Linked DNA regions of Tribolium castaneum. The protein of the gene in region 1 purifies or fractionates together with the protein of each later gene. This does not show direct contact. Links are inferred from orthologs where the notes say so. Each region holds a gene or a part of one and is shown on either strand. Other genes may lie near its edges. The genes, in order: cytochrome b-c1 complex subunit Rieske, mitochondrial; uncharacterized protein LOC658291.

Region 1 (16,230 bases):
AATGATGGCCTCGAAAGTGATTAGGGCCCAGCCAAAGGCTGGAGATGATAATGGAAGTTTTTGACCGGTAGGTACTGTGCGGTGTTGCCACTAAAACGACCAGATTTGAGGCCAATTGAGTTTTTGTGGTTCTTAGAATTGGACAAAAATAGTGATAAAAACAAAAAAATACGAAAAAACAAAGTTTAATAAAGAAAGTAAAGAAGATGAGAAACATAATAAAGAAACATAAAATAAAGATTTGTATAACTTATAAAAAAAAGAGAAAACATAAAGTTATCTTGAAGAAATAAATAAAATAAAATAAAAAATAAAGAAAATAAATCTAAAACTTTGAGAGAAATCTACTGAAAAGTACATAAATAAAAATTAAAGAAAGAATGTCGGTACGAAAAAAAAATACTTACTGGAATAAAAACCAAGTTTTTTTTCTGTTTTTATTAAATTAGAACAAAAAAAAACACAATTTTTTTCAAAAATGACAAAAAATTTACCTTTTCTTAGCGTCTATTTAGCAAAAACTCTAATTATTCTACAAAATTTCTTAAAACGTAAGCTAATAAATTATAGAATTATGTCAAAAATAATGTAATTTTTGTAAGTTCTAAATATTTAAACACGTTTTTAGACCAAAAATCAAGTTTTTTCTAAGTTTTTATTAAACCAGAACGAAAAAATTACCAGATTTGGTCGAAAATGACCAAAAATTTACCTTTTCTAAGCGTATATTCATTGGAAACCCAATTATTGCGCAAAATTTCTTAATAAATCTCAAAATTATGTCAAAAATTACATTATTTTTCCAAGTTCTAAAAATTTAAACACGTTTTTAGACCAAAAATCAGCTTGTTTTTTGTTTATATTTAACTTGGTCGAAAATGACATCAATTATCTTTCCTAAGCGTTTATTTTTCAGAAAATTTTGCATAAATTAGTTAAATTAGAAGACAAAAATGTTCTAAAATGTCAAAACAGTAATTACAGAAAATTGTAAAAATAATAAAAATAGATTTGAAACTCTCGTAAGAAGAAGAAGAAAACTATATTGTGTTCAGTTAAGAAAAACATTAAAAAAATGTAAAGAATTAAAAAACTGTAAAAAAGTAAAAAACTTATTAAAGTTTGGAAGATGAAATTAACTAACCTGTACTTGTAACTAAAAAAAAACAAAGAAAATTGATGAATAAAAATTTAAGAAAAATACCTAAGAAAAAAAAATGGTTAATTAAAACATATAAGAACAAAAGACACAAAAGACAGGGTCAGCAGTATTGTAATTAGTTTGTAAAGACAAAAGTCCATAAGTAATTAGAGCTTAATATTGAAGAAATATCTGAGATAAAACCTTAATTACAAAAAATGCATAAATAATTAAAAAAATATATAAAAAGACATTGAAAAAGATTGTAAACATGAAAAAATCATTTTAAAATTTTGAGAGAAAAGAACGAGACTTAAAATTCTCCATTAAAAAAATGAATAGATTAGACGAATTAAAAAAATGTTCTAACATGTGCTAGAAAAAGTAACTACAAAAATTATAAAAATAAAAATAATAGTTTAAAACTCTCGAAAGAAGACGAAAAAAACTAACAATTACAATGTTTAGTTAAAAAAAAGTAAAAAAAAAATACAAAGAATTAAAGAAGTTGTAAAACAAAACAGAAGAAAATAGATTAAAATTCGAAGAATGAAAATAGCTGACCTGTACTAAAAAAACACAGAAAATAGTATAAGTACTATTAAAAATGAAGAAATAAATTTAAAATTTTTAGACAAAAAAACGAGAGATAAAAATTATCTAATAAAATAAATAAAAAAATTGCATAAATTTAAACAAGATATTGAAGACATTCTTAAATAAAAAAATAAAAAAACTAAAAACAAAAAATTAAGAAAAAATCTATTTCTTCTCAAATTATCCCAAAACTGTTCTACAAAATTGTTCTAGTATCAACCATACGTATGTAAAATGCTCCGGTAAGTCGATTGGTGTCTAATAAAATAAATAAAAAAATGCATAAATTTAAACAAGATATTGAAGACATTGTTAAATAAAAAAAAACTAAAAAAATTAAAAACAAAAAATTAAGGAAAAAAATCTGTTTCTTCTCAAATTATACCAAAACTGTTGTACAAAATCGTTCTAGTATCAACCACACGTATGTAAAATGTTCCGGGGAGTCGATTGGTGTCGTTAACTTTCCAAAATAAAGTCAAATTTTAATATTATCACAAATACATTGTGAAGCAATCTCGTCGGAATCGGCTCTTGGCAATAATGAGTGAAGTTAAAAAAGCGATGATTGATGAGTTTTGGTGAACAGGTGGTGGTCGTGTGTCGTGCTCATTCCGCTGATCACGTGTGTGTGTGAGTTATCTCAAGTGTCATGTTTGGTGTGATGTGTATGTAATCCATAGTAGGTATCCATGACCTATCCCTCGTTTCGTGTTTGATTGTTTCGCGTGCCGCGCACAATCACTCACAGTCTCCACGCACCATCCTCCCACAACTTCCTCCCTTCAACTCTTTGCCTTTACTACGACCACTACTAAAATGCCCGTTACTTCTTTGTTAACACTGTGTTTACATGAAACGAACGCCACATTCATTCATAAATCCCACGACATTTTCGTGGCGAAACATATTAACCGGTTATGAGAAAGCCGACGGACACGTGCCACCTAGATGGATTTTCATAATGCGAAGGGTTGAAGGGTAAACGATGCACTAATAAGGGCTGCAGGAATTAGTTTGGGTGCATTATTCATTGCCTGATTGCCTGAGCTGGTGACGTGTTCATTTGGACACTGTAATATTTTACACAAGCCGGTTTTTAACGACACTTTACACTTTATGCCACAGTTTCGCCGTAATCGGCTCTAAGAAAATGAAAACTTCAACTTGTTTTTAGCCACTTTTTCGGAAACTATAAGACTTATTGAAACAAAAACAATAAAAGTTAGAGAATGTGCTTTAAATTATTTATTTCCTCGTGGTGACCTGAAGTCGCTCCCGGCCATGGTTCCGATTACAGAGGAGTTTCTAGGTTTTCACTAAAAAATTCATAACTTGAAAACTAAAAATCGTAGGACAAAACGGTTTGTTCCGGTGAATTCTGCGGCCCATTCTACGTGTTTTACCAACTTTTGATTTTTTTTGTCCAAAATTTTAATGGTCCAGGTATTTAACTTCACAAAAATGAAAAAAAAATTTTTTTTTCAAACTCACTTTGGCAAAGTTATATGGACTTTTCTATGCCGTTATAATCCTCTCAAGTTGTTGAAAGTACAATAAAAGTATATAAGTTTGTTTTTTTTTAAATTTGATTTTTCCAATTTTTGTTGATTTTCGGTACCCGGAACATTTATCGTGCAATAACTCCGAAACTATTAGAGACAATCTTATGACGTTTACTATCAATGGAAAGCCCTTTTCGTTGTCTATCTTTCTCAAAAAAGGTGATTGTTCTCCGACTAATAGTTTTCGAGAAAATTGCAAGTAAATGAAAAAATTGGTAAATAAAAAAAGCTTCATAACCAAAAAACTAATAAAAATTTGGCAATTTTTTCGGCGCCAGTCGATTCCCCGAGTCATTCTATATGAGTTTAGACCAAAATACGTCCACATTTTCAAATAGTTTTGACGTAAATTAAGAAAATATAAAAATTAAAAAATCCAAAATTTTGAAAAGAAATTGTCAAAATTGCTACTTGAAGGATTTTAAATTGTCTTTACATTGGAACAAACCGTTTTGCTCTCAATCTCAGCAATCGCCGTATAAAAACTGCATAATAAAGTAAAAGTTTTAACTTTTTTATGTCTTTTATGCGAAAACTAAAAGACTAATAGAAAAACAGTTTATTCCACTGAATTCTACGTCTCATCATATGTATTACGCTTAAACTTTTAAAAGTTTAAAATTTTTGCTTAAATTTTTTTTGGCACTTAATTAAAAAAAATGAAGAAATTATATAATGAAGAAAAAGAAGATGATATATTTAAATCTGGCGAAAAAAAAGACAAAAAATAATAATGTTAGTTAAACAAGAAATTTAAATAAAAAAGAAGAAGAAGACAAAAAAATTGAAAAAACTAAAAATTGAAAGAAGAAGAAAAAAATGTTTTGTTGGAAAAAAAACTAATGAAACTACAGACAAAAATACTGAAAAGAAAGAAGCAACAAGCAAAAAGATTTAAAAGAATTTTAAAAAAAGAAAAAAAAATTGAAAAATGAAGAGTATGGATGTGAATCTCGCGGAAGTAGATAAGAAAACAGAAAGAAAAAATAAGTTAAAAGAGAAGATGCGAAAAATTAAAAAACTAAAAAGTGAAAGAAGAAGAAAAAAATGTTTTGTTGGAAAAAAAAATTAATGAAACTACAGACGAAAAAACTGAAAAGAATGAAGCAACAAGCAAAAAGATTTAAAAGAATTGTAAAAAAAAATTTAAAAAATTGAAAAATGAAGAGTATGGATGTAAATTTCGCGAAAGTAGATAAGAAAACAGAAAGAAAAAATAAGTTAAAAGAGAAGATGCAAAAAATTAAAAAACTAAAAAGTGAAAGAAGAAGAAAAAAATGTTTTGTTAGAAAAAAAACTAATGAAACTACAGACGAAAAAACTGAAAAGAAAGAAGCAACAAGCAAAAAGAAATAAAAGAATTATAAAAAAAAATTAAGAAAATTGAAAAATGAAGAGTACGGATGTGAATTTCGCGGAAGTAGATAAGAAAACAGAAAGAAAAAGTAAGTTAAAAGAGAAGATGCGAAATAACAAAACAGAAGACAATTAATATGAATCTCACAGAGAAGGACGAAAAGAAATAAGATTAGTTAAGAAGGAAATTGAAAAAAAAATAAAGTAAAAGTAAAAATAATTAAAGAAAAACAAAAAAACAAAAATAAGAAGAAGATGAATTTGAATTTGTCAAAATAAGAAACGAAAAATGGGAATGTGTACTTAAGAAAATACTTAAAGAAAGAAAAAAGAAAAAAGTAAAAAAAATTAACAAATTATCAAACAAAAAAAAAAAGAAAAAAATGTTTGAATCTGAGAGAGAAAGAAAACAAAAATATTTTATTGGAAAAAAAAATTAGTTAAGACAGTAGTTTGTAAAAAAATTTGAAAACATTGAAAATTCTAAAGAAAAAGAAAATGATAGTTTTAAATCTGACAGATGAAGAAAAAAAATGTTAAAAAAAATATAAAAAAATCAGTAAAACAATTAATAAAAAAACAAAATTTTTGATATTTTTATGCCTTTACAACCCTCTATAGTTGTTAATAGTACAAAAAAGTCAATATGTTCGATTTTTAAAATTTTTATTTTTACAATTTTTACACATTTATCGAGCAATAACTATGGAACTACTAGAGATAATCCCATCAAGTTTACTATCGTTGGAAAGCTCTTTTAATTATCTATCGTTTTGAAAAAAATCATTCTTCTCCGGCTAATAGTTTTCTCAAAAATTGTAAATAAAGCAGCAAAAGCGAAAGTTCCAAGTCCAACACGGGACCCCGGAAATGCAAAACAATTGTCATGTCCTCACTGTTATTACCATATCACAAACAATTCCTCCATACGCACATTACTCTAACAAACAATCATCTGACATAATATTTCTGGGAATGCGAACCTTTACTTACACACATAATTCCATTGTGCATTTATACCAAGCCAAGTTAAAATTTTTGTCATTTCCTCAGAATATATAATTGCGCCTAATTGCATACAATTTAATTGGGGCGTAATTATTGCAATTATTAATTGGCCGAGTGGGACATATCTGGTCTGTGTCAGGCAGGTGTCGAACCAGACTGGCAGCTGATACCTTCCTCCTTAAATTAGGTAATTCGAGAAATCTATATTTCGACTCGATCGCATCCAGAGATAAATAATTGTCGCATCAAGAATTTGCATGCGCGCTGTGCAAGCTGCAGCAGCAAAAATTAATTAATTTCAAATAAGCGAGTATCTATGCGGTTTAAAGACCTCTCTCATTGCGGATTTATTCGCTTGTTAGGAGAGATAGTGCGAGGTGTTGCATATGCAATTGACTATTGTTGTGAGTTATCTCGGTGGATAATTTTATTTATTAGGTGAATTCACACTGATTGTGTGTGCTATTTGTCTGAGTGGTATTGATTCGCTTGGCTAATTAGCAGAAGGCGATTCACTTAACCATTTATCATCTTTAAACTGGTTCTTATCGCGAAGCCATCTAATTAAAATTGCGTTTTGTTGAATCGGGATTACACTTAATTTTATAATAAATTTCAAAGAAAACACGGCGCGAAAAATATTTTGTTTTTAAATTTTTTTTATGCAAAATTATCCAAGGAATCCAAATCTGTCATTCGTTTCGCGCTACAGTCATTTGTTTTTGAGTTACACCCTGTCAAAGTTATCAAAGTAGTTTTTAAGAGTCTCTTCTAAGAAATATTTTTTTAAATAATTTCATCACTTGATGCGTGAACAGTTGGCTAAGAATTGTGTAAAATTGCCCGGAGATCCCAGATATCTTATTCTTTTTTTGCCAACTTTACAAATTTTCAAGTTACAAGCTGTCAAACTTTAATACCGTCTGAAAGCAGATTTTAATTTTGGACATAACTTCTAATATTTTTTTTTTCAGAATAGTTTCAGATTGTTTTCATATACATATGTAAAATTGGCCCAAAAATATAAGTATCTAGTTTTTTTCGCGCAACAGTTATTTGTTTTTGGGTTATTGTTGTGTCTGTTTTACCAAATTTTTTAAACAATTTTGACACACGACAAATTTTTTTTGTTAGCGTTTTCTAATGTACAGTGGTTCAAAAAATGCGAATCTGTGTTTTTTTAACGCTAGAATCACTTATTCTCAAGCTATAAGAGGTTAAACCTAAAAATTTTCAGACTGCAGATTTTCTTGATTTTTTTGACGATTGTTAATCAATTAATTTTTTTGCAACTTTAACACTTGGTACCATGAACAATTGACATATTCTTATGTAATATTATATAGAAAATCTGAACATGTCATTGTTTTCTTACTGCACTAATTTGTTTTCAAGTTATAAGCCCAGAAGTAGTCAAAAAAAGATTTTGCCGAATTTAAGAAATTTTTCTAAAATTTTTTTGAATAATGTCGATGTTTCACGGCACTGATAATTGGCATACTCTTATGTATAATTGTCCAGAAAATCTAAATTTGTCATTCTTTCTACACTAAAATCACTTATTTCTGAATTACAGACTATTAAACCAATGCTTGTCAGAAAACAAGTTTTATTTCAAGTAAAACATTTCTTCAATTTTTTTTCTGATATGTATGTCTCACTGCTCTGATACTTAATATATTCTTGTGTAAAATTGTCCAAGAAATCCGAATTTGTCATAGTTGTCTTACTAAAAGCACTTACTCTTAAGTTACAGGGTGTCAAATCATAGCTTACCAAAAATCAGATTTTATCTAATTTTGGACATCATTTTCAACAATTTTTTTTAATGACTATGATAATGCAATCTCTTTATAGTTAACATATTCTTATGTAAAATTGTCTAAGGAATTCAAATCTGTCATTATTTTCTTCATAAAGTCACTTATATTTGAGTTAAAGCTGTCAAAACACAGTTGGGCAAAAATTATATATTATCTAATTTTGAACGGCATTTCGAACAAATTTTTCAATGATTTCAATTCTTTACACCATTAATGGTTGACATATTCTTACGTAAAATGGTCCAGAAAACCCAAATTTGTTAGTATCTTCTCACTAGAATCAGTTATTTGTGAGTTATAAGTTGTCAAACCTTAGCTTTCCAAAAATCAAATTTTTTCTCATTTTGACGTCTGTTTTAATTTTTTTTTAAAGACTGTGATACTTTCGCCCATCGATAGTTAACATATTCTTATGGAAAATTGTCTAAGGAATCCAAATCTGTCATTTTTTTCTTCATGAAATTACTTGTCTTTGAGTTAAAGCTGTCAAATCTCAGTTTGGCAAAAATCATATATTATTTAATTTTGAACGATATTTCGAACAAATTTTTTAATGATTTCATTTCTTTACACCATTAATGGTCGACATATTCTTAGGTAATATTGTCCAAAAAACCAAATTTGTTAGTGTATTCTCACTAGAATCACTTATTTGTGAATTACAAGCTGTCAAATCTTAGCTTTCCAAAAATCGAATTTTACCTCATTTTGATGTCTGTTCTAAAATTTTTTTTCAAGACTGTGATACTTTCGACCATCAATCGTTGACATATTCTTACGCAAAATTGTCCAGGAAATCCAAATCTGTTATTTTTTTCTTAATAAAGTCACTTATTTTTGAGTTAAAGCTGTCAAAACACAGTTTGGCAAAAATCATATATTATCTAATTTTGGACGATATTTCGAACAAATTTTTCAATGATTTCATTTCTTTACACCATTAATTGTTGACATATTCTTACGTAAAATTGTCCAAAAAATCCAAATTTGTTAGTATCTTCTTATTGGAATTACTTATTTGTGAGTTACAAGCTGTCAAATCTTAGCTTGTCAAAAATCAAATTTTATTTCATTTTGGTCGTCTGTTCCAAAATTTTTTTTTAAGACTGTGATACTTTCGCCTATCAATAGTTAACATATTCTTACCCAAAATTGTCCAAGAAATCCAAATCTGCCATTCTTTTCTTAATAAATTTACTTGTTTTTGAGTTAAAGCTGTCAAATCTTAGCTTTCCAAAAATTAAATTTTCTCTCATTTTGACGTCTGTTTCAACAATTATTTTTAAAGACTGTGATACTTTTGTTCATCGATAGTTAACATATTCTTACCCAAAATTGTCCAAGAAATCCAAATCTGTCATTCTTTTCTTAATAAATTTACTTGTTTTTGAGTTAAAGCTGTCAAATCTTAGCTTTCCAAAAATTAAATTTTTTCTCATTTTGACGTCTGTTTCAACAATTATTTTTAAAGACTGTGATACTTTTGTTCATCGATAGTTAACATATTCTTACCCAAAATTGTCCAAGAAATCCAAATCTGTCATTCTTTTCTTAATAAATTTACTTGTTTTTGAGTTAAAGCTGTCAAATCTTAGCTTTCCAAAAATTAAATTTTCTCTCATTTTGACGTCTGTTTCAACAATTATTTTTAAAGACTGTGATACTTTTGTCCATCGATAGTTAACATATTCTTACCCAAAATTGTCCAAGAAATCCAAATCTGTCATTCTTTTCTTAATAAATTTACTTGTTTTTGAGTTAAAGCTGTCAAATCTTAGCTTTCCAAAAAGTAAATTTTTTCTCATTTTGACGTCTGTTTCAACAATTATTTTTAAAGACTGTGATACTTTTGTCCATCGATAGTTAACATATTCTTACCCAAAATTGTCCAAGAAATCCAAATCTGTCATTCTTTTCTTAATAAATTTACTTGTTTTTGAGTTAAAGCTGTCAAATCTTAGCTTTCCAAAAATTAAATTTTCTCTCATTTTGACGTCTGTTTCAACAATTATTTTTAAAGACTGTGATACTTTTGTCTAAGCTAACCCACCCTTAGGTAAAATCACCCAAGGAATCCAAATCTGCCACTCCCACCTCGCTCCAACCCCTCGTCTCCAAGCCACAACCTGTCAAACCCCAACTTGTCAAAAAAATGTCACTCCTCCGTCGCATCATCTCCCGCTTCGCCCACACCGACATCCAGGTGCCCGACTTCACCCCCTACCGGCGCAACCCCAACCCCTGCTCGTCCTCCTCTTCCAGCGCCCCGTCGCGCCACCTGGTGCCCTACATGGTCTCCGGCACCGCCGTGACCGTCGCCCTCTACGGCGCCAAAGCGGAAGTCATCCGCTACGTGGAGTTCATGGCGGCCTCCGCCGACGTGCTCGCCCTCGCCAAGATCGAGATCAAGCTGGAGGACATCCCCGAGGGCAAGAACGCCACGTTCAAGTGGCGCGGCAAACCCCTGTTCATCAAACACCGCACTCCGGAGGAGATCCAGACGGAGCGGAGCGTCGACGTCGCGACGCTCCGGCACCCGGAGCACGACTCCGAGCGGGTCAAGGACCCGGCGTGGCTGGTGGTCATCGGGGTGTGCACCCATCTGGGGTGCGTGCCCATCGCCAACGCGGGCGACTGGGGAGGGTATTACTGCCCATGTCATGGGTCCCATTACGACTCCTCCGGGCGGATCCGGAAAGGGCCGGCGCCCACGAACCTGGAGGTGCCCGAGTACCATTTCCCAGACGCTGGGACGCTAATTGTTGGCTGATTGTTTATGGTTGGATAATAAAATTCGTTCTTTGATTGTGTGAGTTGGTTTAATGGGGGCTATATCAAGGGTAATAAAATTAGAAACGACGCATGAATCATGGAATTGTTAGTTCGATGCGTCGCCGGTTGGCGCTGTTGCGGGGGTGTGTCCCGATTGATCACTCCCTCGCCAAATCCGGGAGCGAATTCAAGGATTGTAGATAAATAACTAAGAAAAAAATTTATTTATTTTTATACATTCCCGCCTTGTTTTGTTGCTCTCTCATATTTTGTTGGGTCATTGGCTTTGATACCAACCCTACAAGCTTCAGCTGGATTATAGCAAATTTGTAGTTGAAATAACAAATTTGAGATTTAGTAACTCAAAAATCTGTGAGTGTAGCGTAAAAAGCGAGATAGATTCGAATTCTTTGGACAATTTTACGTAAGAATGTGTGACTTTTCGTTCGAAATCAATAAAAAAATTGCTTTAAGAAACGTCAAAAATTGGATAAAATCAGATCTTTAAGAATGTTGAGATTTAAAGCCTATAACTCAAAAATGAGTGATTTTAGCGTAAAAAAAAATACAAATTTGGATTTCTTGGACAATTTTACATAAGAAAATGTTAACCGTCACTTATTTCACGTATAGAAATTGCTAAAAAAAATTGTTATATGACGTGGTGTCGAAAATTTTATAAATTTTTTTTTTGGCAAGTAGTGATTTGACAGCCTATAATTCAAACAAAGATAATTTTATTAGAAAACTAATAACAGATTCGGATTCTTTGGACAATTCTACGTAAGAATGTGTCACTTATCGTTTGTCCTAAGTGTCGAAATCATAAAAAAAATTGCTTGACAGAACGTCAAAAATTGGATAAAATTAGCTCTTTAACAAGTTGAGATTTAAAGCCTATAACTCAAAAATGAGTAATTTTAGCGAGAAAATAATGACAGATTTGGATTCCCTGTACAATTTTACATAAGAAAATGTCAACTATCACTTACTTCACGTATAGAAATTGCTACAAAAAATTGTTATATGAAGTGATGTCCAAAATTTAATAAAATTTGTTTTTAGCAAGCTGTGATTTAACAGCCTACAATTTAAACATAGGTAATTCTATTAGAAAACTAATAACAGTTTCGGATTTCTTGGACAATTTTACGTAAGAATGTGTCACTTATCGTTCGTGCTAAGTGTCGAAATCATAAAAAAATTTCTTAAAGAAACGTCAAAAATTGGATAAAATTAGCTTTTTAACAAGTTGAGATTTGAAGCTTATAACTCAAAAATGAGTGATTTTTGTGAGAAAAAATTGACAAATTCAGATTCCTTGAACAATTTTACACAAGAAAATGTCAACTATCACTTATTTTAATCACAGAAGTCGCTACAAAAAATTGTTATGTGACGTGTTGTTCAAAATTTGATAAAATCTTTTTTTGACAAACTGTGATTTGACAGTCTATAATTCAAATATAGGCAATTTTATTAGAAAACTAATAACAGATTTAGATTTCTTAGACAATTTTACATAAGAACATGTCAATTTTTGGTAGTTTGAAGTAACGAAATATTAATGTAAACTATTTGAAGAAACGATCAAAATTCCATAGAATCTGCTTTAACACAACCTGAGATTTGACAACTTATAACTCAAAATTAAGTGATTTTAGTCAAAAACAAATGACAAACTTAGATTTTTCTGACAATTTTGCATAAGAATGTATCAATTATAGGTGAATTAAAGTATCGAAATCATAAAAAAAAATTGTAATAAGTAACGTCCAATCTGTAAAAATCTGTTTTTGGACAAGCTAAGGTTTGACAGCCTATAACTTAAAAACAAATGATTTCAGTAAGAAAATAATGTCAGATTTGGATTCTTTGAACAATTTTATGTAAAAATGTGTTTAATATTAGTGGTTTAAGATATTGATAATGTTGTAAAAAAAATTGAAAAAACGTTAAATTAAAATAAAATCTTTTTTTTACAAGCTTTGGTTTAACAGTCTGTAACTCGGAAACGAATAATTTTATTGAGAAAAAAATGACAGATTTGGATTTCCTGAACAATTTTACATAAGAAAATGCTAAGTATAGACAGTAGTCGTGTGTCAAAATTTAAAAAAATCGGTAAGACAGAAGCGATGTTTAAAAATTGACTACAATCTGTTTTATGATAATTCTGAGATTTGACAAAACAAATAACTGTAACGCAAAAAAAAACAAAATACTCGAGATTCTTGAACAATTTTACATAAGAATGAGTCAATGATCAGTGTGACAATCGTTTTAAAATAAATAATATAGTCGTTAGAATAAACGTCAAGACTACGATTATTATCTTCACAATTTTTTTTTCAAAGTTTCTGAGATAATTTTGGAAAAGTTAGTCTTCTCCAACGAAAATGAACCGCAAAATTTAAATATACAAGAATTATTTTGGTTCAAATAATCGTTTCAAAAATATAGCACAGTGTATTTGTGATAAAATTTTAAAAATTTTCAATTTTTTGAATAATATTTTTCAACAATTCTTTAAAATCAAACAAGAACTAGTAATCCCAATGTAAAATGACCCGCAGAATCCAAATCTGCAAAAATTAAGCAAGTCCCAATACACATTCCAAAAATATGAGCAAATGTTTAGATGATATAAAAAATCCATAATTTCTTCATTTTTTTGGCAATTATTTTGACACAATTGTCCAAAATTCACCAAAAAGTAGTGACCCAATGTAAAATAAACCGGGGAATCCAAATCTGCAAAAATTATTTAGATCCAAAGCCACGTACCAAAAATATAGCCAAAAATAATCGAATTCAAGAAAAATTAGAGATGAAAACAATCGATCAGACAACAACTCAAATATCTTCAAAGTTTTCCAACAAATTTTTGAAAAAAATACACCGTTCGATGCACAAATCCATTGCGACCCCAAATCAGCAAAAACCACCCCAACCGTCCCCACCCCAGCGTCTCAAACGCCGAAAAACCGCCCCCAGTGCAAAAAATTCGATCGCTTCTCTGCGCATTCTCACGGTTAGCGCCATTTAACATTCCATCGATTGCAGACAATAATCTCGCTACTGTATCATTAGAATCGGCTCCGAACAGCTCGTTTAAAATGCGAATTTTTCCCGAAAAAAAAAAAACACGTTACATTATTATTTCGTTCGCTCTCTCCATATTCATAATTAGCCCTAAAAAATTCTTATCAGATAAGAGTTGCTGCGCCCATGAGAGGGGAATTATTCGTCGAGGGTAGCTTGATATATAACAGTCATTCCACAAAAATAAAATATTTTTATGACACTTGCTTATGGAAATTGAACCAAACATGCGAAACGACCGATTTGATAAATTTAAATTATTTACCTCCCTTTTTTATTCAACTTTCAACGGCTTTTTCCCCAATAAGAATAATAAAAAGTAACAAAAAATTGATCAAAAACACTCAAAAAATCATACCGGGTGAATCAAAAATTATTCCACTTTCAAAAAAATTCTACAGAGTTAGTCAATAATTACACCACCCACCATAAAAATGATACAGGGTGAGTCACAAATTGATCCACCCACAGGGCGAGTCACGATTAAGTTGTACAGGGTGTTTCAAAAATTTCGCACCATACCGGGTGGGGCACATTTGTTGCTCCCGTCCGGCGAACGCTAACAACAGGTCGCCAGCACTGCAATTTGCCTCTAATTACTCGTAATAATATGTAGAAAATAATGAGTGAGGAAACAGCAAAACAAGCGTGTAATTTCGTTCGTCAATAGTCGAATTTTTTGAAAATTTTTCAAAAGGAAAAAATCTAGATCGCGCAAATTACCTATAATTACGCAAAAAAGTCCTAAGTATTATGAGGGTTATTAGTGTTGGTGAAAAAGTGTGTATGTGTCAGGCTGTCCAACCGAATTTTGTAATATACTTATATTAAGTCGGTTAATTGACTAGATCTCGAAATAAGAAATTGCGTGATGCGTGATACTACCTGTAGGTAAAGAGCTATATCTATTTACGTTTACGTGTTGTGACGTAGCTGCTTAGGCGTGTGTGGACACCATTATAAACAATAAACGGCCTTGAGACTTGATTTTGCAAAATTCGGCCAACATATGACGTGACGGATTTCAGTTTTTTACTTTTTTTTAATAAATAATACGATATACCGTTTCATTTTTAATAAAACTGTTTTGAATTACAAATTTCATTAGAGGGGTTTTACATTTAAATTATTCCAATTGACGAGGAAAAATGAAATGTCAAATGATTAGTAAGAAAAAAATATATAGTGGTTTGTGACAGCGAAAAGTTGAGGTTAGATCGCTTGCCGTCGCTCGAAGAAGTACTTTATAGAACTGTAATATCAGTTTCAAAATGCTCAAAACTGATATATTCATGCAATTTGTAACAGACTTTATTTCTACAATTTTTGTTTTTTTTTTGCTTTTATTTCATTCTGAGCAAAAATCATAATTTTTGGGCAAAAATACATGTTACCACAAATTATACTTCAAAAATAGTTTATTTGTAAAAAAATATAAAAAACAGATATAATAAAATAATGACAAATATTTTGGACACATATGATATTTGTTTAAAAAAAATGTTATATAGTGTGAAGGAAGTTAACAAAAAAAAAAAAAGAAAATAAGTTAAAAAATTGAGTGCAACAAAAAATGACATACCGACGCTTCACAGCAATTTGTGACGGATAGTACATTTATCATCACTCGATTTTTTCTTTTATTTTTATTTTGTTTAATTGTTCTTCCAATGAAATTAGAAAAAAATGAACACGACTTTTGAGAAAAATCAGAATTTTTTTTAAGTATACTTATAGTTTATTCTAAATTGCTGTGTATTTAAAAATTGTATATAACTTTAAAAACCACACCAATTATGGACACATATTATCTGTACTTATAAAATAGTTAAGAGATAGTTTACGCGTTGTAACAAAAGTATGAAAAAAAACTAAAAAACAGAATGCAATAAAAATGATATATTGACGCTTCACAGCAATTTGTAACAGATTTTACATCTGTTATAACTTGTTTTCTTGTTTTATTTTTATTTCATTTGATTGTCCTTTAACTAAAAATAGCGAAACAGGTTTTGAACAAAGGAAAACAAAAAATATCAAAAAAATCTTTTGTATTGTTTGTTCCAAATTGCTGGTATTTAGTAAATACGTTTTCATAACTATTCACAAAAGATTTTACTTAAAAATTCTTAAAAACGTAATTTTAGACAGAAATAATGTAAAATAAACAAAAAATTAACAATAATACAAAATTTGTAGAGAAATTATAAAAAAAGAATATTAAAAACTAAAAAAATTACAGACTCACATCAATAGTTTGGAACAGATTCTACTCGTAATCCTAAAATTTTTGAATATTTGATTGTGACTTTATTTGCGAAACAAAAAAATCAAAATAGAAATAACAATAATTGAAGTAGATAAAGTATAATAAGATAATAAATAATAAATGAACTGTTAGAGCTTTGTAAAATTGTAATGATTTGTGACCAATTACAATGATAGTAATTTATCGTGCATAATAATGACATATGATTATTAATTTACAAAATATCCAAAAATAAATACACTTTCCCCCGTTCGAATTTTTTTCTTTCAAAAAGTTACTTAGCTTATTATCAATTTGTAACAGATTTTATGTATGTTATAACTTGTTTTTTGAAGAAAAAAAGCGAAATAAATTTATAATAAAATAAGCAGAATTTTGTTATAAATAAAAATAGAATATAGAATTTGTAAAAACAATAACAAAAAAAGAAAAAATAAACTTGAAAAGTAGAGTAATGAAATATGTAGATATGATATATTAACGGTCTACTTCACTTGTTATCACTTATTTATAACAAAAAATAACGAAATAGATTTTATACAAGAAGAAAAAAAATCAAAATTTTGTTATAGATGCTTTTGACAGTTTTTAATC
Region 2 (16,024 bases), on another chromosome or scaffold:
TAACAATTTCGTCTTTGCACCGACTCGTCGACAAACCAACAACTTCATTATCATTAATATTGTACGAAACCCGATTCGGCGCGCAACTCGCTTCGCTCGCGTTATCCTCAACACTCGAAGCCTCATTATCACTCATCACCTCATCCTTGACAATCATCGGAACATCAACCTGCTGGATCTGACTACGCGGGGGAACCCCCACAAAACTCTCGGGGAAACTCGCGTTCGCGGCGAGCATTGTCGAAGTCCGCCGGAACGCGCGTCCGGTGTAACTCTCCGGATTTTCCAGATTCAAATACTTTGCGATACGACACGGTATTTCAATGAAGGTGTTTCGACCAACTGGTTGGTTGAAACAGCGGCCGTCTTGATACCGCATGAAAAATCGGGGACTTTCGATTGTCAGTTTCGAACGCAACTCGATGTAGCGTTTCACTTTCGCCAAATGTTCCGTGATTATGAACATTCGGGACATCCCCGATTTCGAATCGGGGATTGTGACGATGAATAAATCGCCGGTTTCTTTCACGTTTTCCAACTTCATGGCGCACAGTTCATGGCTGCGGCACGCTCCGGTGATTCCCATCAACATCACAACCTGAAATTTTTACTAGTTTTTTGAAAAAAATCCAAAAACACCATAAGAGTTGTGATTTGATTTAAGTTGGCATCACTGACAGCGCGACCTCAATTTCCGAAAATATCCGAATCGAGCCACTTTCATACTAAAATAAGCATCAATTTTGTAAGTGTATGTTTGGTTGTCCACTTTTAAAAAATCCATTATTTACCACAAATTGTCTTTCTTTTTTAAAAGAAAACATCTTTTATAAAAATAAAAAAATTCATAACAAAAGAACGTACGTTACAATTTATTATAAGAATTCGGAAGTAAAATTACCGTTGGGGGCGCCACTGAGCTAGGTCGAAAACAGTAACCATAAATGGCGGGAAAATGTTTATTCGGATATTTTGAGCGTTGTACGAATTTTGGGGCTTCACAATTATTACATTGCCTATGCGGAATGATTATTGCATCTTTGATGCAAGAAACTTATGTTGACAAATGAAAGATGACGAGGAAAACACGAATAACGAATGACTGATTGATTCACTTTCTTTATTGGAAAATTATTACAAAGACATTGAAAAGCCTACCTTTTGCCATAATTTACGTTTAAATGTATCAGCAGTTGTTAATTTTTATTGTAGTTTTGTAGATTTACCGCAGCATTTCATGTTTTTTTCAGTGGATAATTCTAACCTAAAATTCATAACACTTCACTAATTTATTGGTTTCTTGAGCCAAACTTTGTGTTCGCTGTGATCCATTACTTATAATCTTTAATTAGACAACTGTTTGATAACACTTTGTAATCAAAATTTAAATATTTTTCACTTTTTATCCACTTTCAAGTTCCAACAATAAACACTTTATACCACGAAAAACTACAGAACCAAAGTCAACGCTAGTATTTACCACCACGTACTTTTAAAGTAATTCTTTCTATTGTAAGTAATTAACACTATACACGCAAAATTGTTGAACAATTCATTAAATGTCAGTTAAATGTGGCATTACGAAAATTTCTTTACTGTTTTCGACATAGTTTAAAAGTCATCACCAGAGGGCGTCTAGTTAATTTTATTTCCGAATAATTATTCCTATTAAACAAAGTAAATGGAGTTAAAAAGAAAAATCTAAACTTAAAAACTTTCGAAAATTTTTATTTAAAAATACAGCGTCTTCCAAAATAAAAACCCAACTAAGTGTTCTGTTTTTTTTTTTTTAATTAAAACCCTATTGGCTATTTGAAGTCCATGATATTTTATAAATAACAGAGAGAAAATAAAAAAAAACAGCTAATATACAGGGTGAATTTTTTAAAGCCTACATTAGAAACTTTTTAACTTCTAATATAACTAGAGCTTTAAAATTTTGTATACGATCCAAATCGACCATTCTGATTTCAATTAAATTATTTTCAAAATGGTTGAACTTCCGAAACTACAAAAAAATGGCGCCAAGTTTGAAATTTTAAATAGTAACCACACATTTTTATTACATATTTGAATTCCCCTTTTCAAGCTGAGTAAAATTTACCCATGTTGTTGGTACTTATCTGTCATACTTTTTGACATACGTCAATTTTTTTGTAAAAATTTTCATTTGCAAGCGTTTATCTAAGAGATCACATCCACTAAACCCTTTGCGACAAGTGAATATTTTTTTTTTGTATAAGATAACTGAAGGTTTGAAGAATTTTCTAGAATTTTCGAAATTGTCAAGTGTCAAAATTCATGGCTAGTGTGATTTTTTCAAAATGGTTATCAAAAATCGGCTATAACTCAGTTTATTCAAATGGAAGACCCTATTTTCTTAACGGCAATCGAAAGAATATCTATATTTATGGTGACTTTTAACAATACGTCCTATACATATCTCTTACAGTTTTTGAAAAAAATCACAAAAAACGGATTTTACTTCGTAATTTTCATGGTTAATCAAGTAGACCTTGTAAAATACATCAACAATTGTGAATCTTCAATATTTTATTTAGTTTTTAGCTGGTTCATTATCAAATAAGCAATAAAACAAAAATATTTAATTATAGTTTATTATAACTTAGTGAATTATGTAAAGTAATTCAATCAGTCTGTCATCGAATTTTGAACTTCTTGAATGAAAATGATGAACAAATACGACATTTTTTTAATTAATAGCACAATTTTATCGTATTTTTCGAAAGTTTACTTGATTAAAAATGAAAATAATGAGCAAATTTTTGTTTTTTGCGATTATTTAAAAAACTGTAGGAGATAGATATAGAAGATGTTAATAAAAGTTTGCATAAAAATTGATTGCCATTGAAAAGACAGGGTCATTCCATTTGGAAAAACTGTTTTGTAATAATTTTTTAACCAACATTTTCTTTTTAATCAGAGTAGCCTTGCAAATTGATAGTTGACAATCCTGAAAATTTGAGAAGACCTCTTGAACCTTTGGCTATCAAATGCAAAAAGAATTATTAACTTATTATAAAGAGTTCACGCGATGTAATATTTTAAATGGACCCTTACAATGAAAAAAATTGACATACGTCAAAAACTATGATAGATAAGTTTTGGCAATTAAAATACATTTTACTCAGTTTAATAATGCAATAAAAATAAATAGTTACTATTTAAAATTTTAAAGTTGGGGCCAATTTCCCGTAGTTCCAAAAATTCAGCCATTTTGAAAATAATTTTGTTGAACTCAGAATGGTCGACTTAGATTGTATACAAAATCTTGAAGCTCTAGCTATATTAAAAGTTTCTAATGTACCAGCCTGTACATCTAAACCTCTTAAAATAATTGTAAAAAAGTAAAAACGTGGTAAAAATTATAATATATAAGTGCAAACGTAACGCCATCTCCTGACAAATAGTGACAAGAGGACGTAAGGCTTTCATTTCACATCACTAGTTTAAGACACCATCCTACCTACTACCATCATCACCATAGTATAAAAGTTGCTTTCTTTGAAAAAAAAACACAATTTTTCGTAAATAATAAAATCTTTTATCACTAACCAATTCCTACCTCTCTTGAAATGCCATATTTGAGTGGACGTTTAGTGGTTTTTCTGTATTCCACTTGATTAAACATCTCTAAAGTAGGCAACCAAACATACACTTACAATATTGAAGCTCATTTTTTTTGTTTGTGTTCGGGTATTTTCGGAAATTGAAGGAGTCATTCGCTACCAACTTAATTGATCATTTGTTTACCTTCATGAGAAGATATTTCTCGTCTGGAGCCTCTTCGAGGAACTGGTTGATTCGTTCCCTGCTGAAAGTGTTTGATTTTTTGGGTTTGTATCCGGCGTTTTGTCGCTTCAGGAAAGCTCTAAGTTTGACAAACTTGGAAATATCAATATTTTCATTGACAAAAATCGTTGTTTTCAGCATGGAATACTCGCACCACAGACTCGACGGCGATTTCAGAATTGCACGTTTTTCCTGAAAGTACGCCAAAAGCAACGCCTCCGAAATGGGGCCGTTGTCTTTCGCGAAACACCAATCTTTGAAAAATTTATAGGCCGATTCGTAGCGTTTCTTCGACTTTTCAGGAATTAAAGGCGAACTTACGAGAACTTCGTCTTCCATTTTTGCGCACAAGCACACGATCAGTTTTGTTTGTAAATAAACAAATTACACAACTTGACGACGAGCAGAAGGGGGCTGATTGCACTTCCGCTGTCGTAAGTGTGTTGTTATTGCGAGCGTGACATTTTTACTGCAGGGCGGTAGGTTGGTTTTACCGACCGAAGGTGTCGCCACCGTTTAAAAACAATCACAGAGAATTGGTACAAAAGTCGTAGGCTTTTGTTACATTAGATGGAAAAATCCACACCTGTGACTGCAATTTTTAATAATTTTACGTGAGGTTTTGTTAATAATTTTCACGCTTTCTAGTGACATCTCGATTGCCAACGTCTGGTAACAATCGAAAAATAAATCAATATCTGAGGTTCTGAGCGAAAATAACGAGCAAAATCGGCTTATTGCTTGTTTAAATCACCTGGACAATAATTGATTTTTTTACAAATTTCTATGACTACGGAGATCTAAAGGTTAGGATACGTCTTAAGGCGGCCCCCGAGAACTATCAAAATCAAACTGTCAAATCAAAAAATACGTGTTTTTACCCTTTACTTTTATACATATTTTCAACCGGATTTCCAACTACTGTGGCAAATGGCCTCCAACTGGCAAATAAATTTTGAAATTTTTTCGCAAAGAAATTTTTCTAAAGGGTATTTTTTCCTTGCTATTGCTAGTATTGGGTTCAATTTTTGCACACATATTTACAATGATGTTGTGCATAAATGGTGTATTTTTTTTGGCACCCAAGACTCAGATCATCAGACGAAATAAAAAATGTGTAGTTTTGTGGAGAATTAATTTTTTATCATTTTGCTTTTTGTTTGGTACTGCTCCGTGGTTTATTTTTTTGAGATATGTAATAGTATGAACACATTAAGTACGTAATAAAAGTCATAAAGTCCAACTTTTTCTATAAAAACATTTAGCAAAATTCTTTGTTATTTTCACTGTTTTCCTCCTTTCCTTTGTGCAAACGAACCGGTCAGTGTTTAATAACACAATTAATAATTAGTAATTAACTAGTTTATGTTATTTTTATAAATAGTCCGTTTTTTACATTATTTTCCAATTCTGTTAATTGCTACAAAAATGTCCGTTGTGAAGAGGTGTCCGTTATTCGGAGGTGTCCATTAAGACAGGTTTCATATAGTAACCTAGTGGACTATTATTGGGACATTTGATTACACTCTTGTAAATTTGTAAATTTAAATTTAGGCGGCTTTGATAAACTAGGCAAACTGAAATAAACAATGTATTTTAATCCTTACATTATTATATAACTCTTCAGTTTTTATTATGCTTATCAGCGTTTTCATACACATTAAAAAATTACCAAAGCCTACTCGAATTATTATTATTATTAGTTTAAATAATCGCCCGGAAAATTTAGCAAAGTTTCAAACCAAAATACAGATTCCATTGTACGCGGACTCGTCGCGCCCCAGCAGACAGACGATTTAAACAAACTATATTATTTTTTAACCATTTATTTAACATTTTAACGATTCTAACAATAAATATTGACCAATACCACGCACTAAAACCGTATTTATATCATTTTTCATTGCAATCCGGGCCGATGCCAAACACTGCCTAAACTCCTCACTCTTACAATCGGTAAAATCACAATAACAATCGTTTAACGTCTTCTCTCCTATAATTTTGCGTTCGCTATAGATTTTAAAACTGAAATCAATGATACCATCATTATTTACAATCAAAAAACACAAAAACTAACCGCAAGTCCCAAACAATGTCATCACCAGGGTCTACTGTGATAAGTTGGGTAGGATCTTTACTACAGGGGAGCATTCGTCCTTCTTCGAAGGTTTTTGCAACCAATTCGTCCATAAAATCGTCCCATTCGCCCGTTTCGGCGTCGAGAAACTCATCTTCAGGTTCGCACTTGATGTCACACACTCGGACATCGGCTCGCACCTAAAAACCACACAGGGACTTATATTTAAACAAAATAGCGTAATTACAGCCAGAATTGTAAAAACCAACGCAAATAACAGCCTCATTTTGCCAAACAATGCAATGGTGGGTATTAAAGTGTTAGGATTTTATCTTATCACAGTTGATCCCCGAACAATGACATTTTACTCATCATTTTTTTTTTAGTTTATTGCAAAACCCCAACGGCACGTCACAATTCGAATTTTATCAATAATCCTTATCAATTATTCAAATTTGGGGAAGTGTTTCCGGTCACGTGACCCGATTTGTCAGTCAACAAAAACCTAACCACAAATTATGACTGATATTTATTCTGGCCATTCTCAGTTCGTTTTATTGGGAAATAACAGGTGATTATTGTTGGTTTTGAGCAATTGATTAGTGTGCCCCCTTTAGGAGACGATGGTTCGACGGGCGCACCCTCTTCATAATCACCGTTATCACCGTCCCTGTCATAATATTCTGTGGTATTTACACGATTATACTTAGAAGCAACGAAAGTCTCTTGTACCCCCGAAGCCCCACCGAAGGTAGGCAAAAGTACCAAGGGGGCTATCACTCATTTGTTGTTTAGTGGGGCCAGGTCGGGGCGCCCACCGTGCCAAAATGTACAGCTCCCGGCTGCGCAAGCCCGACGACAGGGGGCTGCTGCTGATCGAAGAGGACGTGCCAAAAATCGCCGATTTTAGGCTAGTTTGTTACTATAATTTTCCAAGCGCGGACGGGGGGCTGCAGCCCGAGAGCCTGGACCCCTTCCTGTGCACGCATATCAACGTGGCGTTCGCCCGTGTGGGCCCCAATGGGGTACAGCTGACTCGGGACGAGCTGAGGGTGCTCCAAACCGTGGTGGGGTTGAAGCAAGTCAATGGGGATTTGAAGGTGTTGGTGTCCGTGGGCGGGGCTGGGAATGATGGGGGCTACAGTGGCATGGTGTTAAATCACGCGAGTCGGAAAGTTTTTATTCGATCGGTGATCGACTTAGTGCGGAATTATAGCGTGGATGGGGTTGATCTCGATTGGGAGTTTCCGAATGAAAGTCCGGGGAAGGACCGGAACCAGAAGGTGCATTTCGTGCAGCTTTTGGAGGAGTTTCGAATGGCGATTAATAAGCAGGCGAGGCATAAGTTTATTGTGACGGTGGCTGTGGCAGCCCCCATTTTTCTGGTGGATAATTGCTATGATGTGCCTTATTTGAACGAGTTTGTTGATTTTGTTAATGTTATGTCGTATGATTATCATTTTTATACCAAATTGACCCCCTTTACGGGGCTCAATTCGCCCCTGTACCCCGCCATGGAGGATAAGGGGTACTTTTCAACGCTTAATATTAATTTCACGGCACACTATTGGGTTTCCAAAGGGATGGCAAGGGAGAAAATTGTGATTGGTTTGCCTGCTTATGGACACACTTTTCGGTACATAGCTCAAAATCAATGGTAAAATTTTACTTTAGGCACATTCGACTGCATAATAACACTTTTATCATAATTTTTTTAAATACAAAATTGACATTTGACTGTCAAATGTCAATTTTCTGACATATAGTAGCCGGCTGACTTGATCGGATCAGGTCGGCTCTTTTCGATAAAGCAACCAATCAAATGACTTCGAAATGACCATGCAATAAACCTACTAGATAAATGCCCACACGGAAAAATGCTCTTAGAAAAACTAGTAATAATCAAAAGTGTAACCGTGTAAAATGTTTTTAGGTAAAGACCATTAAATTTTTTTGTTGTAATTTTTTATTTTACTTAAAAATTTCAAAATTTTGGAAATTGGTTACGGTTTTTCTACGTATAGCTTAAATCTAGACTGCTTGATCTGTTCGCTCTGTTCTTCTCATAAATTATGAAATTCAAAAAATTATACAGCGTGTTTGGGAATGTTTTAGCAAAAATTTGAAGGTAGATTTTTTCCAAAAAAAAAAACCGTTCTGAACGGTTTTGAGAATCGCTGAACTAGAGTGATAAAAATTAGCGTAAAATTATTGACAAAACAGCAGCGTTAATTAAATTTTTGGTTCACTCAAAAAAAAAATGCCAGAACTTGGGTTCGAACCTCCCACACAAATGAACATGCAAGCAATCAATAGCAACATTGTTTAAAAAATTTTTAAAACGTCCATGGGCCACTTATTTCACTTTACTAAAAAAAAACTACCTTAAACCACGCAGTTGTTTAAAATTATGCAGTTTTGGGAAAAAATGTCGGGTTTTTGAGTCGTCTGTCATCGGCATTAATTCACATTCAAAATATTGCAACATATTACCCTAACACCCTGTATTTTTTCATAAAAGTCCATAATTGAAATTATTTTAAAAACCATCACTCTTATCAGAAATGTCCACATTTTGTTCAAAAAAGATAGACATTAGAAAATTATTCGGAAGTAAAATTACCGTTGGGAGCGCCACTGAGCTAGGTTGAAAACAGTAACCATAAATGGCGGGAAAATGTTTATTCGGATATTTTGAGCGTTGTACGAATTTTGAGGCTTCACAATTATTACATTGCCTATGCGGAATGATTATTGCATCTTTGATGCAAGAAACTTATGTTGACAAATGAGAGATGACGAGGAAAACACGAATAACGAAGGACTGTTTGGTTCACTTTCTTTATTGGAAAATTATTACAAAGACATTGAAAAGCCTACCTTTTGGCATAATTTACGTTTAAATGTATCAGCAGTTGTTAATCTTTATTGTAGTTTTGTAGATTTACCGCAGCATTTCATAATTTTTTCAGTGGAAAATTCTAACCTAAAATTCATAACACTTCACTATTTTATTGGTTTTTTGAGCCAAACTTTGTGTTCGCTGTGATCCATTACTTATAATCTTTAATTAGACAACTGTTTGATAACACTTTGTAATCAAAATTTAAATATTTTTCACTTTTTATCCACTTTCAAGTTCCAACAATAAACACTTTATACCACAAAAAACTACAGAACCAAAGTCAACGCTAGTATTTACCACCACGTACTTTTAAAGGAATTCTTTCTATTGTAAGTAATTAACACTATACACGCAAAATTGTTGAACAATTCATTAAATGTCAGTTGATGTCAGTTAAATGTGGCATTACGAAAATTTCTTTACTGTTTTCGACATAATTCAAAAGTCATCACCAGAGGGCGTCTAGTTAATTTTATTTCCGAATAGAATCGTTAAAAGTGTTGCCAACAAGACCATTTTGCAGGTGTTTGAATGTTGGTAGTAAATTTGAAAAAGAATGGGCAAATGCATCTTTAAAATAGAAGAGGACAAAAAATAGTTTATTAATGAATTGGAACTAGAGAGGAAACGTAATAACCATTAATTTAAACGCAGCTTATAGTGGGCTTCTTCAGTTTTTTGGTAAGTAGGTATTTTTCTGTGTGAGCTTTTTTCCTATGGGCTTTTTTCTGGTCACCTATTTTTTCACTACAATTTGAATTGTTTTTTTTAATCGTTAGTCGTTTCTAATGAGATGAATAAATCTGGGGAATTTACACATTTTTATGCGAGTGTGCCTAAGTAAAATTTCACCGAATCAGTTACAAACTAGAAACTGTTCGTAGATTGACGAATATTCACAACAGTGGGTTCTACGCCCCAGCCCGTGGCTACGGCAAGCTGGGAAGTGGCGGTTTTGTGGATTATACCCAAGTTTGTAAATTTTTAAACATGAATCAGATCTCGCCAATTTTTGATTTGGATTCGAAAAGTCCCTATGCGACCAAAGGGACAGAGTGGGTTTCTTTTGACAACGAACAAAGTCTCTCCTTTAAGGTGAGTTGGCTAGGGGGTTTACCGATTTTATAGTGATTTTTGAGTTGGGATGTTGGTACAGTTTGGGTTTTTAGGCCGAGTTTGTGCGAGATAATCAGTTTGGGGGCGTTATGGTCTATTCCCTAAACGCTGATGATTATTTGGGGGTTTGTAAAGTCGATCCAAAAGTGCAAAGTCGGCAGTTTCCACTTATTAACAAAGTTAAAGAGATTCTGGACAGGAATTATTCAATATTTTAACGCGTCCTGACGACTGTGTGACCTGAGGCTGTTAAGCGCGGTGATAATGCAAGTATTATAATTTTTGTAATAAAAGTAATGCGCAAAGTTTGACAAATTTCATGTTGGCGACCCTTACTGTATTTTCCTGATACCAAATATTCTGGTATTAATTTCAAGGGCATTTCTCTCATTTAAAACAATTGTTTTTTCCTCCAATCGTGGCGTTAAAAATAAATATTTAATTATTAAAAAGTGAGATTAATTGTCAAAATGTCATTTTTGTGTTGGCAACCTTGTACACACAAATAAACACAATTTCGGCCAAATTTTCAATTAAATACTAAATTCAAGTTAAAAACATCCTACAAAATAATCCGGTAAGACTTACGTAACACAATAATTGATTTTTTTATTGGATAGTAATTTTTTTTGAGGTTATGTAACAAAAAGGGGTTCAATAAAAATGGCCCAAAATCTACGTCGTGAGGTCTTAGCTGCTTTCAAGTCACTCCACAAGGCGCGAAAACATGTTTTTCAAGGAGATAATAATGCCTTGACCAAAGCACGTTCCAAAATTAATGAAGAGTACAAAAAATGTAAAAACGTGACCGATAAACACGCCATAGAGGAACTAGTGAATTATTCAAAGGCTGTAGAAACTGAATTAAGGGTTACTGTTATCCAGGCTAGGGAAATACAGCCTGGGCAATACGAGGTTAGGTTGAGGGAGGAAATTCCAAGGTTGGAGAATGTGCCCTTTAATGAGTGTGCCCAAAAGTCGAAAACCTGAATTCTGAATTGTTTTTTTTTTGGTAGAATAAATGGTTAGAATTAGGAAATCGTTTTTTATTTTTGTGATGGATTTTGAATGCAGGTGATAAGCAACCATTCGTACAAAATTTGGTGCTGATTACAGTCGACCAGACTTTTCTACAGCCAAGTTCACACCAGGAAAATTATCAAAATAATCGTAAATCATTATAAAAACATCAATAAGCTGTTACGCTGACTTGCATATCGCATTTGTAGAACATGTGTTTCCATTACAAATTAAAACTTAACTGCATTTAATTTTTGCATTTAAACTTAACAACACATGTTAACACACCCTTTATAAACAGTTAAACGCCCTTTTTCATCAAAATGTTTATTTAACACGAGAAGTTAATTTTTGCCCTATATACATTTCAATAAATCACACTGAAGTTTATGTCGTTGACTCAAGGTAGATTTATCTACCCTTAAACATATTCAATAATAATTAATAACGCTTTAAAAGAGCGGAAACGGACACAAAATCCATAACAGTTAAAGTTTTCACATTTCCAAATGATAACATAACCCTACTTTTAAAACCGAATTTTTTGGAGACTTAAAACTAACACAATTTGTAGCAATACCAGTAATTTTTGCACCAAAATTTCACATCACCAGCTCGTTTGCAAATATTAAATCAGGAAAATAGTGAAAATAATGAATAAGAATTTTGCAAAATGCTTTTATAGAAAAGTTGTTGTACTTTATGTTTTATTACGTGGCAAACTTAACACACGTTAACACGCTCTTTATAAACGATTAAACTCCTTTTTCATCAAAATGAAACACGAGAAGTTTATATTTGCCCTATTTCAATAAATCACACTGAAGTTTATGTCGTTGACCCAAAGGTAGATTTGTCTGCCCTTAAACATATTCAACAATGATTAATAACGTCCTAAAAGAGCCGAAAAGCACACAAAATCTATTAAAATTAAAATTTAACACTTCAGAAGAGAGTATAACCCTACTTTCTGAACTTTTGTCTCTGTCTGGCAATAACACATAAATTTTTGACGCAAGGTAGACATTTCTGCCCTAAATATCCTATCATAACGCTCTGAAAGGGCAGAAATGGATAAAAGTGTAAATTTTGTCATTTCCAGGTGGCACCATAACCCTACTTTTCGAACCTACCAAATTTTCAACAAAACAAACCAAACAAGCAATTTGTGGCTATACGCATTGCGATACCACTAATTTTCGCATCAAAATTCACATTGCCAGGTTCTGTTTAAATAACAACATTCATTTTTATTTTTCCAATAATTGCATGCGAAACTTTTATAATTTCAAACGTTTATAGACAAAAACATTTGTTATAATTAATTTTTCTAGGTTAATACTGTTCTATTTTGAATAATTCTGTGTATGAATGTTTCTAAATTTGACGAATTATGTGAGTGTATGTTTCTGGTGATGACCTGTTTTACACACAATGTGACGTCACATCCGTGACGTGTCCCGAGGTTAGGTGTGCGTCGCAGTAGGCGAGAGCGCTTCAGTCGGCATCGAGCAGTGGTAGGGGTCACTTCGGGAGCTCGAGACGAACGGTGTATTTAAATTATTGTGCCGTTTCGTTTAAATTATTCAGTTTGTTACTTGCCGTTGTCGCGAACGGACGTGTGCTCAAGCAAATCTAAATTTTTCGGTTTAAATTTTAAATTCGGTGATCGCGGTTAGTGTAGTGTGTGTTAGTGCCAATGGAATGGTCTTCAAGAAGGAAACAACAATCCGGATTAAAAAGGTCAGTGCATTTTTTTTTTCATTTGCGGTTAATTTATTTTCATTATCTTGCTACAAACGGTAGCAGTCGTGCGTTTTAATTTTTTAAATGCGGTGTTGAAAAGTCATAGTTTGAGTGACGCGTTTTAAATACAGTAACTATAAATAAAATCAAACACTCAAACAATTTAATGCCACTTAATAATTTTCTCTTTTAATTTCAATGAATGAAAGTGGCTTGCTCTAAATTTAAAGCAAATAAACATTTTTTTTTGGTTTCATTTTTATTATTATTTTTTTTTAATGCTACAAACGGTAGCCAACGTGGAAGCGATACGAAAGGTAGGACCATTTTATTTTTGTGTTGCGTTATTTCACAAATATTTCCTTAAAATTTAATTGCAAATAAAATGTTGTGTACACCGGCTCTAAATACGATGTTGAAAAGTCATAGTTTGAGTGACTTATTTTAAATTCAGTAACTAAAATAAAATCAAACACTCAAACAATTTAATGCCACTTAATAATTTTCTCTTTTAATTTCAATGAATGAAAGTGGCTTGCTCTAAATTTAAAGCAAATAAACATTTTTTTTTGGTTTCATTTTTATTATTATTTGTTTTTAATGCTACAAACGGTAGCCAACGTGGAAGCGATACGAAAGGTAGGACCATTTTATTTTTGTGTTGCGTTATTTCACAAATATTTCCTTAAAATTTAATTGCAAATAAAATGTTGTGTACACCGGCTCTAAATACGATGTTGAAAAGTCATAGTTTGAGTGACTTATTTTAAATTCAGTAACTAAAATAAAATCAAACACTCAAACAATTTAATGCCACTTAATAATTTTCTCTTTTAATTTCAATGAATGAAAGTGGCTTGCTCTAAATTTAAAACAAATAAACATTTTTTTTTGGTTTCATTTTTATTATTATTTTTTTTTAATGCTACAAACGGTAGCCAACGTGGAAGCGATACGAAAGGTAGGACCATTTTATTTTTGTGTTGCGTTTTATTTATTTCACAAATATTTCCTTAAAATTTAATTGCAAATAAAATGTTGTGTACACCGGCTCTAAATACGGTGTTGAAAAGTCATAGTTTGAGTGACTTATTTTAAATACAGTAACTAAAATAAAATCAAACACTCAAACAATTTAATGCCACTTAATAATTTTCTCTTTTAATTTCAATGAATGAAAGTGGCTTGCTCTAAATTTAAAGCAAATAAACATTTTTTTTTTTTTGGTTTCATTTTTATTATTATTTTTTTTAATGCTACAAACGGTAGCCAACGTGGAAGCGATACGAAAGGTAGGACCATTTTATTTTTGTGTTGCGTTTTATTTATTTCACAAATATTTCCTTAAAATTTAATTGCAAATAAAATGTTGTGTACACCGGCGCTAAATACGGTGTTGAAAAGTCATAGTTTGAGTAACTTATTTTAAATACAGTAACTAAAATAAAATCAAACACTCAAACAATTTAATGCCACTTAATAATTTTCTCTTTTAATTTCAATGAATGAAAGTGGCTTGCTCTAAATTTAAAGCAAATAAACATTTTTTTTTTTTTGGTTTCATTTTTATTATTATTTTTTTTTAATGCTACAAACGGTAGCCAACGTGGAAGCGATACGAAAGGTAGGACCATTTTATTTTTGTGTTGCGTTTTATTTATTTCACAAATATTTCCTTAAAATTTAATTGCAAATAAAATGTTGTGTACACCGGCTCTAAATACGGTGTTGAAAAGTCATAGTTTGAGTGACTTATTTTAAATACAGTAACTAAAATAAAATCAAACACTCAAACAATTTAATGCCACTTAATAATTTTTTCTTTTAATTTCAATGAATGAAAGTGGCTTGCTCTAAATTTAAAGCAAATAAACATTTTTTTTGGTTTCATTTTTATTATTATTTTTTTTTAATGCTACAAACGGTAGCCAACGTGGAAGCGATACGAAAGGTAGGACCATTTTATTTTTGTGTTGCGTTATTTCACAAATATTTCCTTAAAATTTAATTGCAAATAAAATGTTGTGTACACCGGCTCTAAATACGGTGTTGAAAAATCATAGTTTGAGTGACTCATTTTAAATACAGTAACTTAAATAAAATCAAACACTCAAACAATTTAATGCCACTTAATAATTTTCTCTTTTAATTTCAATGAATGAGAGTGGCTTGCTCTAAATTTAAAGCAAATAAACATTTTTTTTTTGGTTTCATTTTTATTATTATTTTTTTTAATGCTACAAACGGTAGCCAACGTGGATGCGATATGAAGGTAGGTGCATTTATCTAGTGATGTGTTGAATTTAATAGATGACTGCCATATATTATAACGTATTGGGTATTCTTTGTTTTGTGTAAAATTGATATATGTTTGTATAATTGTTGTAACCTTCATGCAAATAAAGATTTTTTATTGGTGTTGTTTTAATTTTTTAATGTCTTGCTACAAACAGTAGCCAACGTAGAAGCGATATGAAGGTAGGTGATTTTAATTTTTGTGTCGCATTTTTTTATTTCACAAACCAATAATTCTTTTGTTTTCTAATAATCATTGTTTACCTTATTTTGTGGGGTGTTGAATTTAATAGTTTTGAGTGCCACATATTGTAACCTATTTTGTAGTTTTGTTATTTCACAAACCAATAATTCTTTTTTATGTTCCAATAATCATTGTTTACCTGATCCCTATATCCCTTTTTCCTGGCAAGAATGCTCTAAACCTTCACGTGGTTCTTGCTGGACAAATTACTTAGTAATTTGACCAATTAGAGCAATCCTTAAATACGAATTTTTTGCAATATCGTGAAATTTTATAAATATTAAAAAAATTCGTTAAGGTCCCAAGGGGTGTTTGCCCGAACATGGTTTTTTTTACAATCGAAGGGCTTAATCTTCTGCAAAAATAAAAAAAAATCAGGATATAAAGGGGGTGAAAAAAAATCAGTTGCATTGCTTGAATATGAGAATAAAAATGCAGAAATTAAATACAGTTAAGTTTTAATTTGTAATGGAAACATACTAGAATGGTCAGTAGATGTTCTACAAAAGTGATATGCAAGTCAGCGTAACAGCTTATTTATGTTTTTACAATGATTTACGATTATTTTCATAATTTTCCTGGTGTGAACTTGGCTGTAGAAAACGAGATATCAATTTATTTATTATAAATTATCATACAATAAAGGACAAAACAGTATAGATTCTTTCGTATTGGTATCACAACAATTTAATTTAAGTAAAAGAACATGTATTTTTTCTCGAATGATTTGTTTGGGTGAGTAGTCCACTGGTCCACTGCAAAATTCCGTCGCGTGGCGTTGCCAACATTTTTTTGGTGCGTTTCTATT

What was found.
Region 2: the proteins of cytochrome b-c1 complex subunit Rieske, mitochondrial (region 1) and uncharacterized protein LOC658291 purify together in Homo sapiens (co-immunoprecipitation; 5 studies listed by BioGRID and IntAct, with this or other methods). This does not show direct contact. The link is inferred for Tribolium castaneum from reciprocal best matches to the Homo sapiens genes UQCRFS1 and LYRM7.

Annotation. Positions count from the first base shown.
Region 1 is NC_087400.1:3,779,792-3,796,021, reverse strand, and holds cytochrome b-c1 complex subunit Rieske, mitochondrial, read left to right. Parts: upstream 1-9,535; 5' UTR 9,536-9,642; coding exon 9,643-10,260; 3' UTR 10,261-10,300; downstream 10,301-16,230.
Region 2 is NC_087401.1:12,978,559-12,994,582, reverse strand, and holds uncharacterized protein LOC658291, read left to right. Parts: upstream 1-10,382; 5' UTR 10,383-10,488; intron 10,489-10,531; exon of another isoform or gene 10,532-10,545; 5' UTR 10,546-10,574; coding exon 10,575-10,901; 3' UTR 10,902-10,950; downstream 10,951-16,024. Other genes in the region: uncharacterized protein LOC100142506, read right to left, coding at 1-598, 3,775-4,152; uncharacterized protein LOC103313405, read right to left, coding at 5,643-5,838, 5,891-6,090, 6,138-6,176; chitinase-3-like protein 2, read left to right, coding at 6,409-6,461, 6,508-6,641, 6,686-7,547, 9,319-9,376.